Arabidopsis thaliana: one gene and its partner. The protein of the gene in region 1 interacts with the protein of each later gene in a pairwise test. Each region holds a gene or a part of one and is shown in the gene's direction. Other genes may lie near its edges.

Region 1 (4,793 bases):
TATCGACAAGGTATGCAAGAATCCATAGTCGGACACGAGTACTATATCTCTCTGTTCCTCTACATTCACTAGGATCCTTTCAAATATATTGCAGGAACAATTTCAATTGGTACTATTCAAAATGAACACAACGAGAAGCCTTTTTGCTGATAGGGTAAATTAGATAGACTTGTAACTCACTTATATGAGTTTCCTTGCTGTACACTCATACTTCAAGCTTTGCAGGTGTTTGACTTGTTTGATACCAAGAATACTGGGATTCTAGATTTTGAAGCCTTTGCTCGTTCACTTTCGGTCTTTCACCCTAATGCTAAATTTGAGGATAAGATTGAGTGTAAGTGGTCGAGAGAGACTTGACCTTCTTTTTTTTTGTCATATCCAAACCTTGGATCAAGCTCATCTTTTGTCTCTGCAGTCTCTTTCAAGCTGTATGATCTGAATCAGCAAGGTTATATAAAGAGACAGGAGGTGAAGCAAATGGTTGTGCGGACTCTAGCTGAATCTGGCATGAACCTTTCTGATCATGTGATTGAGAGCATCATAGACAAGGTGGGTTTGGTTGATCTCCTCCATTGACACTAACTAGGATTCTCATATTTAATCTTTGACAAGAGATGTAAAAACTGATTGGTGTGTGTAGACATTTGAAGAAGCTGATACTAAACTGGACGGGAAGATTGATAAGGAAGAGTGGAGGAGTCTTGTGTTGCGCCACCCCTCTCTGTTACAGAACATGAGCCTTCAACATCTCAAGTAAGCTAGCCATGTTATTTGCCTTATTATCTTCTTCGTGCGGGACTAACATGTTTTTGTATGTTGTGTTTTGTGTAGAGACGTAACAAAGACGTTTCCAAATTTTGTATTTCACACTATAGTGACAGACACTCCTAGTGAGCTGGATGGATGATCAGGGATGTGAAGAAAGACCAAAACCCTTTACAAGATCATTCATACTTGATTCTTATCTTCTTCTCCATTACTCTATTACAACCCTCCTCTTTATTTTTAATAAATACGTTCTGAAAGCAGCATTACCTCACATGTTTGTGTATCCGCAAACTTGTTCGGTTTATCTTATCTGTTGGAGTGTGCAAATTGATTCTTTTACTCGGCATTAGTTTTATTTTGTTGCTTCTTCTTTCTTTCTATCTAAATTTGTTAGTTGGAGTAAAATCCGGACAACCATATTTTACAGGGAACCCAAATGGCGAGATAGTTTTAACATGAGAAAGGAAAGATTCATGTGAATGAGAAACTGGTTAACTTGAATCTCATAGATCATTGTATACTTGGACATTTTCCCAAGATTAGAACAAACAATACTAGATCTCTCGAAAATATCTTCATCACAGTTGCAAAGAGCCGTGGAGAACCCAACTCTTGAGCTCAAAATTGTATCAGCTAGTGACGTCAACCATATCGAATATGTCACGGACAAAATGGACGTATACGCCGTCGTTTCAATCAAAGACAACACAACTCAACAGCAACAAGCGGCCAAAACTCCCATTGATATATAACGGAGGTTCTAATCCGACTTGGAATCACACACCGTTAAGTTCTCCGTCAACGAGAGAGAAGCCACGAAGCCCAATAATTATGTTAACCAGTGTAACGTTTTTTCACCCACTTAATTTTTTGGCTGGGTCTGCCTAACATTCTAGGCACAAGTTAAAGAGGTGATCAATTTTTAGAAATTATAACCCTAATGCTAACATGAATGATATATAAAAAGGCCGCAATGGTAGACTATAATGGCAACAACTCTGAAACAATGGCTAAAGATTGGGATTCACCGATTCATAGATACCAAAGGTAACTATGAACTCGTTTACGGTTTATCTCAACATGAATCCGTAGAAACAAATCAACAATCCTAATTTCAATAAAGTGTGACAACTAAATTCTTTAGCCGTATACTTTCTAATTCCATTTTGTTTGGTATAATGAGAATTGGAATGACTTTTGGTGAAAATGGTTACTACTTACTCCAATTCTTTAAGTTGGTTCAGGTGAGGTATCATCGTCTTTGGTCGTCCCAATGATTGACTCTTTTGTTATTTAAAAAGAAAAAAGGGACAGTAGAGTTGGACTCTTGTTGGACTTACAGCTCCAGCTCGACTTTTGCTTTCCTCTTGAGTAATCTTCACTTTTTCTCCCAACTGCTTCCTCTCACGGATCTCTTCCTCTCTGCGTAAAGACAAAGATTCATCCTCCTCTCCTCCTTTAGCTCCCCCACTCAGATCTACTTACTACTCCAACAATGTCCTTTTCCCATTTCTAGGTTTTCACAAATCCCCAATTCTCTCTAATGGCGTAGTAGTACCTCACATTGTATTAGATCTATCTCAATGGAGAACAACAATCTTGGTCTTCGATTTCGTAAGCTACCTCGTCAGCCTCTTGCTCTCCCTAAGCTCGATCCTTTGGTAATTAAACTCTCCTCAACCTTTATTCGCGTTTTCTCTCTCTTTTCGTTAATGTGTTTCTTCTCTTTTGTTTCAGCTTGATGAGAATCTGGAACAATGGCCACATTTGAATCAATTGGTTCAATGTTATGGCACTGAATGGGTTAAAGATGTTAACAAATACGGTCACTATGAAAATATTCGACCTGATTCTTTCCAGACTCAGATTTTTGAAGGACCTGATACTGATACTGAGACTGGTAACTATGATGCATTGTTTATTTTTATTTTTTTTGCTTTTGTCAATTATTGTACATCAATTAACTCTCTGCTTCTTCAGAGATTCGTCTTGCTAGTGCCAGGAGTGCAACTATTGAGGAGGATGTTGCCAGTATTTCCGGGAGGCCGTTTTCTGATCCTGGATCCTCTAAGGTGTCTTCTTTTACTCACTTCATTGCTCTGTTATATATTTCTCATCCTTTGGTTCTTACTTTGAAGGTGTTGCTTTTTTTTTTTTTTTTCAGCATTTTGGGCAACCTCCTTTACCTGCTTATGAACCAGCTTTTGACTGGGAAAATGAAAGAGCTATGATTTTTGGTCAGAGAACTCCTGAATCTCCTGCAGCTAGCTATTCCAGGTTTTTTTTTTTTTGCATGTCACTATGCTTTACCTGATCTTATTATCTTTGTCTGATTTGTACTTCTGTTCCTCTTTATTATCTTCACAGTGGATTGAAGATCTCTGTCAGAGTTTTGTCTCTAGCTTTTCAGTCTGGCTTAGTTGGTGAGGATTCTGACTAACTGCTGTCTATTTTCTGTAATTTTAGTTATTTCAACTTCTTTAAGTTCCTTCTTTATTTCTCTTGCATCCCTGCAGAACCATTTTTTGGCTCGATTGCATTGTACAATCAAGAGAGGAAGGAGAAACTCTCTGAGGATTTTTATTTCCAGATTCAGCCGACGGAAATGCAGGATGTAAGTAACTGATTAGAGCCAACTGTCCTCTTTTTGCCTCTTCCCTTCTCATGATTATATAAAAGGTGATTTCAGTTTTTTCTCACGTCATTTTTGCGAAATTGCCGCCCCTTGTACATTTTCTTGCAGGCTAAACTTTCATCTGAAAATCGTGGAGTATTTTATCTAGATGCCCCATCAGCATCAGTTTGCCTGCTTATTCAATTAGAAAAAACAGCAACTGAGGAAGGAGGCGTTACATCATCTGTCTATTCCCGTAAAGAGCCTGTAATTTCCAAAATCCTGAATTTTCCCTTACTGTCTCTAGAGTCTCTTGCTCATGTGAATGCCTTGGTCTTAGAGATTGTGTCTTTCAACATTTATTTGGAGTAACTTGGAGATAGCCTGTGACTTATAATGGCATATATCATCTGTCTTTACTCTTTGTTTTGATATATATTTTAGAGTAGTCATGGTGATAGCTGGATCTTGATATAACAATTAGTAATTACCCTATTTATGTGAATCAGGTGCACTTAACTGAGAGGGAAAAGCAAAAGTTGCAGGTCTGGTCTCGCATTATGCCTTACCGAGAGTCTTTTGCTTGGGCAGTTGTTCCGCTTTTTGATAATAATCTCACCACAAACACTGGTGAATCTGCTTCCCCTAGCAGTCCTCTTGCTCCTAGTATGACTGCGTCAAGTTCCCATGATGGTGTTTATGAACCAATTGCAAAGATCACATCAGATGGAAAGCAAGGTTATTCAGGTGGAAGTTCTGTCGTAGTTGAAATATCTAATTTAAATAAAGTTAAAGAGAGCTACTCTGAAGAGTCCATTCAGGTAGGATGTTTCTTATCAAATCCCACAGTTTTTACCATGTTCTTTATGATTGTATTTACAGTGCTTTGAACTTCACATGGTGTGGAACATTTTTCATAGATTTTGTTCAATTTGAAAATCCTACTTGCTAGGTACACTTTGGTTGGGTTTTCCTGAACTGGATATGTATCTAAGCAAGTAGAGTTGCATGCACAGTCGATTGACAAAATACTTCTGTATTTAATTGATAACAGTTTTTTTTTGTTTTCTATTTGAATGAATCAATTTTGGTAGCATTTGACAATTAGGTCATGGTGTTTAATTCATAAGTTTTGAGGAATAGAAGTTCTTCATTTCTGTTTTCCCTTCTGAAGTGTAGTTAGTTATAAGTATATTACTAAATACATCACAAGAAAACAAGATTTCCGAGCTCTCTCTTCTTTTACTCACACAAAAAAATTCAGATCTGAATCGTGTTTGGTAACGTCATCAGACAAATAACTGGAATGCTTTTTATTGATATAACATCTTACTGTATATTGCTGCTTTTATCTGGAGGAAATACATATCTAAAATCTCTTTAAACTGTCTTGATCAGTTGGACATACGGA
Region 2 (6,465 bases), on another chromosome or scaffold:
TTTTATATTTATGCAAATGATTAATATACTACTACTATATTAGTATATTGTTACTTATACTATTTTATATGTCAAATTATATGAGAATGCTAGTGCACCATTCGATGGTCTGATCTTTAATCAAAGCACATTTCGAGATTTACTATGATATAAAAAAAAACATGAGATGACCGCCAATTTTGTTTTGTTAACCAATTTCGTGTTTAAAATTTATGTATATTTTTCAGCAATGTTGTAGTTTTTATTTAAACCATTGAGTTTTGTAAGTGTCACTTTATTGACCGCCATTTTTTGTGAAGAGTTACTTGTGATTGATAATATATGATGGAAAACAATGCAATAGTATAGCTCATAGAATCTGCGTCAAAGATTACCATTAATGGTTGATAGGAGTAGCAAGTAACAACTTATAAAATATTTAATGGACAGAACAATTTAGGAGTAATAATAAATAATAAATGACATGTGATTAAATTTATGTTTAGGTAGCATCCATAAATAGACGACCAGCTAAAAGTCATGCATTGATCTAATCGCATCACTTATTTAATAATACTATACCTACCAAGGACCATAAGAATTGATTACTTCTAATACTGTGTATTAGCTTGTATGGAGTACTGGAGTAGTACTGTGGATCTTCGATCCATATGTCTGAACTGTAGTTTATAAATAAAATGTATTTATATGTTAGTATCAAGAAAAACGACAAAAGAATTCGAGTTGATAAATTGCTTTGGTTAATGGGAGCCAGATCCAAAACTCTAGAAGCACAGATCTAAAATGCTTGTGCATGATTTATTATTGTGTATATATGCCTAAACGAGGATGGAGTAAGTCACACATCCACATGCATGTGTGCAAGTCCTCAAGTAGTGTAAGATATAGATGTATGAATACATTCACCCACACGCGCACACACTACGCAGCGTGTGTAGATGGAAGATATTATGCAACTCTTGTAACATCAAACTTGATTGTATAGATCAAGGATGCGAGAGGCACACCATTACGGCAATACATACACTTCCGCTTTACTAGATTCATTATGAAAATCTTTGAATTGTACCATCATCATTCATATATAGTTGGTGTCAAAAACAAAAACAAATCACAGCTATAGAGTTTGAGTACAAGTGTTACGTATGTATTGATGCCTCATTTATGGGAGTTTTGTTCTCCAATAAATATGTAGCCAACTCAACAAGTCTATTTCCTCGCAAACGACCAAATTCTCATTCAATGATTCAAACTTTAACGCTATCTAAACTGTAACGCATTTCTATTTTATAATAGAAGTCTTCAAATGCTCATTCAATGATCCAAACTTTAACTTCTAGTTTTATACTCCATATTTGTGCAAAATGTATATGATATAATATTACAAGTAGTAGAAGTTTTTTGTTTTAGTAGCTAGTAGTAGAAGATTAAGCAGAGTAAGTTCTCATTAGATGACTTAAGCATACAAATATAGTATTACAAGTAGGGGTTATACACATGACTAAAAATGTTTATAGTTCTTTTTAAATAATTTATGTTTAGCACTAACAAATTCTTATAAAAACTAAAGTTTATTTTCGGGAAATTATGTAAGTAACAAATGACTAATTTGGATCATGATTCGCTCCATATGGGTAGGTTATGGGTACCTTTCTTTTTGCTCCAAGCCCTTTTTCGTAATTTTCTCTTAGCACTTTTAGTTAAAATGATGACATTGAAAAAGGGAATGGCTTGCGGTGTTAGCAATGTCTCCGAGTCTCTCTTTTCTCTTTTTACAACGAAAAACCTTTTTGTAATCTCCAAATTTTCCCTCTCTCTCTCGTTTCGGCGGTTAAGCTGCCATAATCTCTCACCCACCTCAAGCAACATAACCCACAAAAACTCAATCTTTGTTTCTTATCTTCAAAACCCATCTGATCATTCCTCCGGAATCTTTCTCAAGAACAGAGCAAATGCCGCTTGTTAGGCTCCAAGTTAGGAATGTCTACGGTTTAGGGCAAAAAGAGCTTCACACAAAAGTCGACCGTGAAGACCCTAAAGCGATTCTCGACGACGTCGCCGTTTCTGGACTCGTCGGGATCTTGCGTCAACTCGGTGATCTCACAGAGTAAGTAGTACTTTAAGTCAACTCTGTTTCCTCTGTTTCTTTTTTTTTATAATTGACTTATAAATGTTTTTAAAAAAAAAAAAATCTTAAGTAAAAATGTGACAATATGGAGTCAGTGATCTTCTTTGATTCTCTGTAAAATCTTTAATTTTGCTGTGTTTGGTCTTCTTCATTTGCTTATTTTATGGTTCTCAGCCAATCTTACTTGTCCTGAGTTTTTATGTTAAACTCACATTGTTTCAGATTCGCAGCAGAGATATTCCATGGAATACAAGAGGAGGTAATGATAACAGCATCAAGAAGCAACAAATTGAAGATGAGATTGAAGCAAATAGAAGCTAAAGTTCCTACAATCCAAAAGACAGTGCTTGCACAAACAAATCACATTCATTTTGCATACACTGGAGGTTTCTTTTGTCTTGTTTCTCTTGTCAATCTTCTTTAATGTCTAGATTCACATGTTTGTTCTTTAATCAAAAATTTATATCCTGTTGAGTTTATTGTAGGCCCTAGCTCACATGCCTTTTGCACTAACTTCTTAGCTTAAAATACTCTTTTTTGAGTTTAGAATTTGATGATGAATGATACTAGTAGTCTTTCTTATGGATCTTAATTAAATAAGTCATGATCTTTCACTATTTGAGTTCTTTAGAAAATTTAAGTATAGTTAATGAACATAGTGTTTACATGCTGTTTTAGGTCTGGAGTGGCATCCTCGTATACCAAATGTGCAAAATCACTTTATGTATGACGAATTGCCACCGTTTATTATGACTCCATATGAAGATTGCCGGGAACCTCCGCGGTTACACTTGCTTGACAAGTATATACACCTTTTAACTCTCATTTTCTTTTTTGTTATTACTGTTTCTGCTATGTTTTAGACTGATGATAATAAATATGATGCTGATTCTTAGCGGTTTTTGTCAGATTTGATATAAATGGTCCAGGTTCTTGTTTGAAACGATACTCGGATCCTACTCATTTCAAAAGAGCATCAAGAGCTTCTAAACCTTCAGAGATTAAGGTTTGTTTTAGAGATTCAGTCTGTTAATACCATGTTTTGTAGAGTTTCTTCTTTTTCTTGTTTGCTACCTAAACTTGTATGGATGATGCAGAAGAAAAAATCTATACAACGCGGTCGAGATATATCAAGACTTGCCTCTGTGGCTAACCAGAGTGACAGGTAATGACATTTGGATTTGACATTGTAGAGATGTTTTCATATATGACTCAAAACATGAATATATGATATGATGTTCAGGAAGACATGTACTTCTTTAAGCTTCAGTGGACGAACCTCTACCTCTAAAACTGCTTCAACGATTGAAATTGAGTCGAAATCCGACTTGCAAGAGCATCGTTCTTTCTCTTTCGATTCAAGAAGTGGTGGAGAGAAACCGAAGAGGGTATCTTCTTCTTCAAGGTTTACACCGGGTTCTCGCACCATTGCTTCAGTTCTTTCTGAAAGTGAAAGTGAAAGTGATAGTCCTTCTCAAGATTTAACAGCTCGTGGTTCTTCTAGTGTTAGTTGGCACGAGAAAGCTGAGATAGTGGAATGCAATGTTCTGCAGTGTGCAACAGATGAAGCTCCTGAAGTAATGGAAACTAACTTTGTCTTGGATGCTGAACCGGTATCAAGACTTAAAGAACATTCAGCGGTTGAAGCGGTCCAAGATATCAAACCGAAGGAACTGGAAATGGACAATGAGGATGAGACTGAAAGCGAAGGGGATGATTTTGTTGATGCACTTTACACCATCGATTCAGAATCTGAAAATGATGAAGCTTTCCAAGCCACTAAAGAGGTGCAGAAGAATCTTTACAATGATATTACAGAGCAAGAAACAGAGAAGATTTCTAACAACTTTAGTGTTGATGAGACAAAATGTGCTGCTACATCAGAGCTACATTTATCATCATCACCGGTATATAAATCTGATGAACTGATTCATCAAGATCCATGGGCGGCTTCGGAAATAAGTAGTGGCACTCATAGTTATTCCAATGGCTTCTCAAATCCTTTGTATGATATTAGTGGTATCCAAGAACATCAAGAATCAGAAGAAGTTGAGAGTTCTTGTGACACTGAATCCATTAAAACATGGACTAATGGAAATCTCCTAGGACTGAAACCATCGAAACCGAAAATTATAGCAGAAACTATTCCAGAGATTGTTGAAGACATTGATTCTGAAACCTTCCAAGAGCACTTAAGAGAAGATTATAAGGCTCCTTTTGATTGGTTTACTTCATCTCCTCCACTTGATCACATGAAAATATCTTTCAAATCCTCAGAAACCTTGCCAAGTTCTGAACTACAGCTAAAACTTCCAGATGAATATACATTTTCTTCGTTTCAGTTGGTGCCAGAGACTATTGCTACTTCACTTCCTGATTCTGATTCAGACAAGGACACTTTCTGTAGATCTTCTTCTTACATTTCAGACAACAGTGACAATGACAATCGCTCTGTGTCAATGTCTGAGCAACAGTGGGAAGAAGAATCAGAAGGTATCCGAGAAAGCAAGAGGCAACAAGAGCTCTATGATTCGTTTCACAGAGTCAATGCTGAAGCTTCTTCTCTACCAGTTCCATTTCCAAAGATTGAAACAACAAATGGTTGTTTAGTTGAAAATGTCTCTTACCTCCAAAATCCAGCTGAGCCATTACCACCGCCTCTCCCACCGTTACAGTGGATGGTTTCGAAAATACCGTCAGCTGGATTCGAGGATAACAACAAGCAGTCTCTAAAGGATGCTCTCACACAGGCATTTGAGAAGAACAACAATTCTTTAACTGCAGTCAAGAAAAAAGAACCACACATTGTCACTGTTTCTGATCCTAAACTTGTAACCAAGGTATGGAGAATTAAGTTTTCTTCTCCTTTTTACTGTTTTTTTTTTTTCATCTTTTTGGTATAAGGTATTTTATGTGATGGTTGATAGGTACATCTGAAGAACAATGTGAGGGATTATAAGCAAAGTCATGGCAACACAAATGAGACAGAAGCTGGAGACTTCTTGCATCAAATTCGAACTAAAGTGAGTCTTTTATTCTTGCTTTATATTTTAGCTATATAGAAAATTTCTGTGGTATATGAAAATGCATTCCCTATTCTATTAATTCAAAGTAACCTTTATTAAGGAACATATTTACATAATCGATAATTAAAAAAAAAAAAAACTCAAACCCTTAAAACTAAAAATATATACATTTGTTTTCGTATTTCATTTTTGTCCCGGTTCCCTCTTAATCGAAATGGAAATATATTTTGAACATGTTTTTAGTTTCGTTTGTATAGGAATGAAATGGGAGAAATGATTTTTTGATCCTCCAATTCTCATTTCTGTTTCCACAAAGTCATAAAATGCATTTTTCTTAACCAACAACAACCTTTTGAATCATAACAGCAATTCAACTTGAGACGTGTGGTCAGGACAAAGACATCATCATCAGAAACTACAATGAACACCAATATTAGCGTGATTCTAGAGAAGGCAAACTCTATCCGACAGGTTCCATACATTATTCACATTTATAATCTTACGTTTCAGTTTGCAAGTACCATTTTGGTCATTAAAGCACTTACATTTCGGACTTGTTATATCAGGCTGTAGCAAGCGACGATGGAGAAGGCGAAAGCGATACATGGAGCGATAGCGACACATGACAACATCATTCATTTCGGTTCTCATATGTTTATTGTGTAGTAGATATAGGTCGATTTTGTCGTACGTTTATATTTGTATCTTCAACAAAGAGATAAGGTTCTGAAAAATAAAATAATTATAGAATATGTTACGTCTGAATCTCTAGATGATTATTGATAATTAAACAAACAAAAGAACTGAATTAATTATTTTTTTAAACAAATTATTTAGGTATACATTAAAACGTGAGTTGGCAAATATAGGATCTTGGAAAATAATCATTAGTACTATATAAGTACCCGAAGCCCTAAGCCGTGAAATTCGCTGTGTTCTTTAATTTGAGTCAGTACTTGACACACTAGAAAAAAGATTATGTCCTTGTTTGTACACTTCTTTAAATATTTTCACTTTCTATCTGATACAACAAAAGATAAGCATTTTTTATTTTTTTTTGATCAAAGATAAGCATTTGATATGCTTCTTAGTTCTTACAATTTCACGAGAATTATTTTATACATAATGAATTTCGTTATTAAAGTTAAATTTCTTAAACTTTTATGTTCGGAAAAATTATTTCTAAAAGAAAGAGAATCAGAAATTATTTTGATTGGATCACTAGAGCAAAGCAAAATTGGCGAGACAGCCAGATTTACCAAAAAAGATGCAACCACAAACACTAAAAAGTCTAAAATCAAGTGGGTGACT

Evidence for each region. Proteins that work in one complex are often made in the same cells at the same time.
Region 2: the proteins of SPK1 (region 1) and AT2G34150 interact in a two-hybrid assay, tested with the Arabidopsis thaliana proteins (one study listed by BioGRID).

What each region holds. Positions count from the first base shown.
Region 1 is NC_003075.7:9,238,619-9,243,411, reverse strand, and holds the start of SPK1 (guanyl-nucleotide exchange factors;GTPase binding;GTP binding protein), read left to right. Parts: upstream 1-1,782; 5' UTR 1,783-1,815; intron 1,816-2,012; 5' UTR 2,013-2,351; coding exon 2,352-2,429; intron 2,430-2,505; coding exon 2,506-2,668; intron 2,669-2,748; coding exon 2,749-2,840; intron 2,841-2,932; coding exon 2,933-3,045; intron 3,046-3,135; coding exon 3,136-3,191; intron 3,192-3,284; coding exon 3,285-3,382; intron 3,383-3,511; coding exon 3,512-3,649; intron 3,650-3,891; coding exon 3,892-4,203; intron 4,204-4,793. Other genes in the region: CBL6 (calcineurin B-like protein 6), read left to right, coding at 1-10, 95-154, 226-334, 416-549, 641-753, 832-907. UniProt on the Arabidopsis thaliana protein: Guanine nucleotide exchange factor (GEF) for Rho and Rac. GEF proteins activate small GTPases by exchanging bound GDP for free GTP. Controls actin polymerization via the two heteromeric complexes WAVE and actin-related protein (ARP) 2/3.
Region 2 is NC_003071.7:14,418,747-14,425,211, reverse strand, and holds AT2G34150 (SCAR family protein), read left to right. Parts: upstream 1-1,740; 5' UTR 1,741-1,952; coding exon 1,953-2,107; intron 2,108-2,350; coding exon 2,351-2,514; intron 2,515-2,520; exon of another isoform or gene 2,521-2,806; coding exon 2,807-2,930; intron 2,931-3,037; coding exon 3,038-3,134; exon of another isoform or gene 3,135-3,165; coding exon of another isoform or gene 3,166-3,225; coding exon 3,226-3,293; intron 3,294-3,371; coding exon 3,372-4,968; intron 4,969-5,055; coding exon 5,056-5,151; intron 5,152-5,520; coding exon 5,521-5,625; intron 5,626-5,720; coding exon 5,721-5,780; 3' UTR 5,781-5,949; downstream 5,950-6,465. UniProt on the Arabidopsis thaliana protein: Involved in regulation of actin and microtubule organization. Part of a WAVE complex that activates the Arp2/3 complex. Regulates trichome branch positioning and expansion.